2 linked regions of the Canis lupus familiaris genome follow. The protein of the gene in region 2 purifies or fractionates together with the protein of the main gene of each other region. This does not show direct contact. Links are inferred from orthologs where the notes say so. Each region holds a gene or a part of one and is shown on either strand. Other genes may lie near its edges. The genes, in order: NBAS and STX18.

What was found.
Region 1: the proteins of STX18 (region 2) and NBAS purify together in Homo sapiens (co-immunoprecipitation; 5 studies listed by BioGRID and IntAct, counting the BioPlex papers as one, with this or other methods). This does not show direct contact. The link is inferred for Canis lupus familiaris from reciprocal best matches to the Homo sapiens genes STX18 and NBAS.

The regions. Positions count from the first base shown.
Region 1 is NC_049238.1:11,422,125-11,425,947, forward strand, and holds part of NBAS (neuroblastoma-amplified sequence), read right to left. Parts: intron 3,454-3,823; coding exon 3,376-3,453; intron 2,993-3,375; coding exon 2,945-2,992; intron 1-2,944. UniProt on the Homo sapiens protein: Involved in Golgi-to-endoplasmic reticulum (ER) retrograde transport; the function is proposed to depend on its association in the NRZ complex which is believed to play a role in SNARE assembly at the ER. Required for normal embryonic development.
Region 2 is NC_049224.1:70,407,993-70,411,173, forward strand, and holds the end of STX18 (syntaxin-18), read right to left. Parts: intron 2,409-3,181; coding exon 2,328-2,408; intron 1,552-2,327; coding exon 1,456-1,551; 3' UTR 1,028-1,455; coding exon of another isoform or gene 1,027-1,027; 3' UTR 517-1,026; downstream 1-516. UniProt on the Homo sapiens protein: Syntaxin that may be involved in targeting and fusion of Golgi-derived retrograde transport vesicles with the ER.

The sequences.
Region 1 (3,823 bases), on a different chromosome or scaffold from region 2:
GTGAGAACAAAGAAGCTCTTAAACATTCAGGCACAGCCACTGTTCATAGGGTTTACTTTGAGGATCTACCCTGCCTTTTTTTTTTTTTTTTTTTCCCCCTGACCATTCCACATCTTGGCTCAAACACTCTTCGTTACAGGTTACTAGATGCACACATTTTGTATTAATTCAGCAAGAGGAAAAGATTGCCAACTCTGAGCAAGTCAGTGAACTAGGCCCTGTAACACCTGCCAAAGTCAGCTTCATGTATGCCACTTGCAAACACCTTACTCACTTATCAAACATCAACTAAACACCTATTATGTTCAAGGAAATATAAACTACTAGGGAGAGGCAGCTGGGTGGCTCAGTAGGTTAAGTATCTGACTCCTGATTTCTGTTCAAGAGGTCATGATCTCAGGGTCGTAGGATCAAGCCCGCGTTAGGCTCCACACTCAGCATGAAGTCTCCTTGAGAATCTCTGTCCCTTTCCCTCTGTCCATTCCCCCCTCTCTCTTTCTCTAAATAAAATCTTTAATAAACTGCTAGGGAAAAAGGACAGCATTGCTTCTTGCAGACACCAGATCCCACTCACATTGAATTTTTAAGGATTTTTTGTTTGTTTATTTGAAAGGGAGTGTGTGCACAGAGGGAGTTGGAGAAGCAGACCCCCCGCTAGCAGAGAGCCCATTGTAGGGCTCAATCCCAGGACCCTGAGATCATAACCTGAGCCGAAGGCTGATGCTTAACTACTGAGTCACCCAGGTGCCCCCACTCACACTGAGTTTTAAGTAAATGACAACCCTGGAGTTGTGCAGAGCAGTAGTCCTAACTATACCCAGGGAAACCCACATGTAAACATACAAGTATATACAGCTAGACAACATGATCAAAAGGTACTATAGATTAGTGGTTAAAAGCAGGAACACTGAAGCTAGAATGGCAAATTTCAAATCCTCAAGCAATGCCAGCTTCCTCATTTCTAAAATGGAGGGAAATAAGAAGACCTACCTCACAGATTAAATGAATTAACACATTAAGCCCTTACAAGAATGTCCAACACCGTTAGTATTATCCTATCCCTAAGTATAATAGTGTGTTGATTATTTCAGGAGCATAAAGGACTGGCACATAACCAGGGATGGGGGTGGGAGGTCCATATGGATTATGTTCCTGAAAGGCTTCCTGGTGGAATTCATACTTTACCATGTAAGAGTCCTTAGATATACTAACGTTAACAAAAGCTTTTGCAAATTACACACCAGATGAATAAGATCTTGATGAGCATGACTACCATTGCCTAGAAATTTTCCCTCACTACTTAATCTCGAATACAGGAGTGAACTCCTAGAGCTGGATATGTGTACAAGTTTTAGACATATTCTACCCTCTAACAATCCAGTAGCAAATCCTTTTATAAAAGCAATTTTTTGTTCTCTTCATCAAAAATTTTATTAATAAGTTCCAGAAGCACTTGGTCAAACTCTTCTTCACAGATCTAAATATCAATCCCATTCCCGTATACATGTTCTGATCCTAACACCTAAAATCATTCCACTGATGTTCTCATTTCATGGGATAAAGATGGAAATTTTGACGATTAACTGCTATTGATAAAGTCACACCATAAGCACATTTCTCAAAAAGATACATTTCACATTACTGCAATAAATGGAATACCAAGCTCTCACCCACTCCTATGAACAATGGCAGTTAAAGAATTGTGCCAGCTTGATGTTTACGGATGCTGTAGAAAAAGAGAAGGACCTGCCTATCAAATTCTGGCCAAATTAAGTAATGTGGTTATGGAAGGCTGTCATTATTGCCCATCATCTCCATTCTGAAGATTTTAAGAAGGATTACAAAACAAAGCTTCTGCATCTGAAGTTGATACCCCAGTGAAAGCAAACACTCTCTCTACACCCCCAAAAGTTGAAGGGTCCTGTTCTGTTTGGAAACTGGAAAAAGAAAGAAATTACACAACGGAAAGCTAAAACCAGTGTGATAACAACTGAATTATCCTATATTTAATCAAGAATAATTAGGTGTCAGAAAAAAAGTTTTGGCTAGTATCTAGGCACCCTGAAATTTTGGGCTCATTGCTTATTTTTTAAAAACCAAGAGTCAGGTCTTAAGGAAACAGTGCAACATGTTTAGTCTGATGTAGTGCAACATGTTTAGTCTGCTGTAGCTAACTAGTTTCGGGGTACCTGGGTTGCTTAGTGGTTAAGCATCTGCCTTTGGCTCAGCTTGTGATCCTGGGGTCCCGGGATCGAGTCTCACATCAGGCTCCTCGCAGGGAGCCTGCTTCTCCCTCTGCCTATGTCTCTGCCTCTCTCTCTCTCTCTCTCTGTCTCTCATGAGTAAATAAGAAAAATCTTTAAAAAAAAAAAAAAAAAAAAACACTAGTTTTCCTTAGTTGCTACTGTAGCTATTTCTTTCACAACAAAAATATTACTTAAAAAAAAGTACATGGATATCCCATCTTAGAGAAGCCTTCTAGATGTGTAGAGAATACCACTGAATAGCTCAAGATGACAGAGAATATCACTGGTCTCAAGTAATATGGAATCTCTGTCTTCAGTAGACCCATATTCCATCTACAGCTTTATGCCAACAAAGCAAAGTAGCCCCTACTTTTTTTTAATACTTTCATAAGCATTTGTTTTAGCTGACTGTGCAGTAACCAGTCAAACAAGGGTGACTTCCAGAGTTCTGAAGATACGCCTTGTCTACTAAAAAAGTAAAATTTCTCAGATGACAGCAAAGTGATCTGGGGAAGCAGACTGTGCTACTCTGACAAAATATACTTAGTCCTGTAATTGGCATAAGTTGGTGTCTGGCACCTCACAGAATTATGTGGGTCAAACCCCTTTAAATATGCCTCTTCAAAAATATTAGTTCCCATAAATCAAATAAAATTTTCTCAAGGGAAATTTTAAATATGAATAATATTAACAATTACCTGATCTCCACACACTGATCTTGAACAGCAGCCAAAAGTTTTCCATTGCTTTTATAGGAAAGAAAAAAAAAAAATTCTATATAAATAGTTGTAGCAAAAAAAAAAAAAAAAAAAAAATAGTTGTAGCAGTCTTCAACAAGAAGATTTTAAGAAGTTAAAATTATCTTTAAATGTATTCACATCTTCAGTCATCCAACTTTTGACCTTAAAATTAAATAGGAATATCAAGGTACCAAAGCATACATAAAAATGATTCAATATAGTTGAACTAATACATTTAAAAGGTATCAATAATATGTGACAAAGGCAATTGAAATATAATATTAAAAAAAAATCAACACTACAGGCCAAAAGGACACCAAAATTAATATCTGTAATGGAATTTAGATGCTAATCCTAACAGAGAAATACATAAATGTTTAACACCTTACCTTGCAAGTACCAAATGCCAGTTTATCTGTTTATTGACCAAGCGAACCAGTCCATCAGGGAGCAAAAAAGGCACAGGGCTGAAACAACATATTAGCTAACTTAAAATTTAATCATCAAAGACACATATAAGCAAATAAGTATTATAAGTAGCATATATAGTTATAGCAAGACAGGATGTTTTTCATTAAGATATAAAATTTGAATAAACTGGGAAACCCAAAACTCAAAGCTACTAATTGGTTATGTGAAATTTGACCACACACATCTTTTCTTCCAGAAAAACACAGTGGTATGCTCAGATATAAATTCTGTGTCCTAAGGGAAAGGTATCGAGGTTGCCAGTAACAGCAGAGTGAGCTTGTAAGAAACCCTTCCTGCCATCCACACCTAGAAAATCTGATTCACCTCTAACAAAAACTAATTCTAGTATACAACTAAACTCACAGG
Region 2 (3,181 bases):
AAGCAGGCAGGAAAGGCTGGGAGGGGCTCATGTGGCAACTTGCAAATCCAATGATGACATTTCAATTCACCGAATCTTTGTAAGAAAATTATGTCTCAACCTGAATCTTGACATTAAAGTATATGTTTACAAAATTGCCAGTTAGATAAGCTAAGTGTGTAAGACGATTAAATAGAAAAAAAAAAAAAAGACATTCGCAGACATTTTCTTCCATGTTATTTGAATGTGTTGTTTCTGGTGGACATGTCAAAAGTTTCACTGTTTTTTAGTAGATCAAAAATAAATGACAACTAGTGCAAGATCTGTTGCAAACAAGCATGGTGGTCATGGCCGACTCCATTACTGCTTCCTGAAATGTGCTTCCCAAACCATATTTTATCATCAAGGGTGTTCTGACCATGACCGTGGCCTCGGAGCCAGGGATGAGTGGGACAAGGCCGCATGCATCTAGAGAGAGCAAGAACCACATACACACCTTTCCTGCACAGACACACCAGTAAACACACTAAGGCAACATACCTTTGTACTTTCTAGTAGACATTTTATTGACTGTAAATTCACATGTAACTTTTGACATTTTCACTCTGTGCCAATAAAAAACACAGGACCCCTCCCTGTGGCCGCGTGACAGACTGTACTGCACACAGTTCTGCAGGGAGCAATGCAGAGCTGTCCGCACCCACACCAGGGGGTGGGGTGGGGGTGGGGGTGGGCATGAACACCAGCTTGTTTCCTGCACAGACGTGGTTCCAGAAGACTTGTGCTTCCCACTGCCAACAGGTGGTCAGTCCTGTTCATGTTTCCTAGAGGGTCAGGTGCACAGGCCAGGTTCCTGCTCCAGCCAAAAGCTCCCAGGGGCGCAGTGGCCCCTTGCTGAGTGCCCAGAGTCTATCCCTGCACTTCTTCTGCAGCCAGCAGGCCGGCGTCCACTGAACTACACTCGGACCCGCCGATAGGACATGAAGCAGCTATAGTTGCATTTATTAGGTCAACAGGGCACAGGTGCGTTTTCTATAACATAGTGATTCTGTCACATGGCCCAGGCAGATGAGAAGTCACAGGAAACAAAGAAATGATCATCTGTTGTGAGAAGTTATTAACCAGTGCTTCTCCCGAAGCCACCAGAAGGGCAGGGCTGGAGCCTCCCAGAGCCTGGCCTCTGGTCAGCCCTTCCACATTGGTCTCCAATTTAGGTGCAGCCAGTAACAATCCCCACCCCCCACCAACTCACCCACCTTGCATCAGGATTGCTACACAGGTCATTTTGTGTTCATTATTTTCTTTCTCAGCTACTACATGGGCTTAAAACCACAGGTCTGGGTGTCCCTTTTGTGAGAGTATACATCTGTCACAGCCCCCTCCCCCCGAATGGCTCTGTGATAAATCGGCTCACAGCCCTGCTCTGATGCCGGAGCCCACAACAGCGCGCCGCCTGCCGGGAACAGCCAGAGTGGACTAGCTGTCATACCAGTCCAGGAAGAGCAAGGAGAAGGAGCACATCACCAGGAAGAAGAGGACCCACACTCGGAAGCCAGCGTTGTTTTTAATGGCCTGGGGGAGGGGGGAGAAGGAGGGCAGTAGCACAGGGATTTGCATCACACAGGATTTTGGTTTCAAAAGCCCTCAAATGCTCCACCTGTCTGCGGGCACTCGCCCTGCACTGGGCTTTAACAGGGTATTGCTAGAGTCAGTGCTACCGGAATTAGACAAAACCATGGGTTTAGAATCCATCAGAAAACAAACAGGTATTTATTTCCCTTACTGGCTGGCCCTTAGACATACTTCCTGCATATTTCTCCCAGGAAACACCCAGCAACTGCCCATGTGCATCCTGGGGTTAAAACCACACACGCCGACCTCGAGTACCATAGCTGGCCCAGCTGCTGGCTCCCCACAGTACATGGCAGTAGTGGCCTCCCATCAACCCAAACCCGGGGACTGCACTCAGAAGACCGAGGACACTCAAGAGTCCGCTGTGGTGGCCCCAGTAAACCAAGGCCCTGGCCCTTAGGGTTGGGGCAGGGGGTGTTCAACAAGCTTCTCCAGTGGCGCCCATCCACGGATTTAGGGAGCTGGTGCAGCCTTTGCCAAGAGTAACCTCACGTGTCTCAGATGGCTCCTTTGGAGGAGGGTGAGTCACATCTCTTGGTAACAGCGGGTGCCCAGGGTTTGTTGGGGACAGAACAGGACTGTCCAGCACAGTCAGGAGGTGAGCCCTGGGGATTGGGCCCCAGCATGGCTCTCCTGCAGCCCTGCCAGCAAGACCACCCCTACTGCCTGGACTCATTGCCACATAGCCACGGCCTGGGGGACCCGAGAGTACTCACCTCTCTGATGTCTTCATTACCTTCCTTGATATTCTCAGTTGCCCCTACAACTAACTGGTGAATGCTGTCGATCTCGGCCTCCTGTGGAAGAAGAGTAACAGGTGGACCCAACCACTATCTCCTTTCCCCAAGCACACAGACCTCAGAAGCTAGCAGCTGCCCCTTACAAAGGGCCAGGACTTTATAAACATGAGCCCATGAATCCTTACGGTGCCCTGAGGGGTAGGCCGCATCCTCATTTTGCAAAAGGGAAACAGGGTTCAGAGACTTCACCCCGAAGTCACACAGCAACCATGTGGCAGGACTAGGACTGGAACCCAGTACCTGTGCCGCTGCCACCCCAGGTGTCACCTTCTGTGCCACTTGCTGGACAGGAAGGGACGAGCACAAGAGCTGCCCGTTACATAGTAGCCGCCACAGGCCAGGGCCCTTCCCTCTGGTCTCTCCTGTATTAGGTTCGAGAGGTAAGCTTTTAAATGCATGTGCTTTAAAACATACCCTAGCTTCAGAAAAGTGCTTTGTGTTTCACCATTTTATGTGTAACCTAAGAAAGTAAAGGGCTAAAATGTATAAACATGACCTCCCATGTACTGAGAGCCTCCCATGAGCCAGGAGCGTGTCCAGTGCCTCTTCCACCAGCAATGACAGCAAGGCAGGGGACACCCGCCCCATTCTGTGAAGGGCGGCAGGGCTCAGGGCACCCCAGGTCACAGGACACACTTCGGAAGTCTGGATCAGAGCCATGAGCTCCCCTCCCGTGCCGTGCTGCCTCCAGAAACAAGTCTGCTTGCTCTAACAGACAGCTGACGTGGCTGTTTGAGGTGTCAGGAGGGGGATGTGAAGGCTCAGCACAT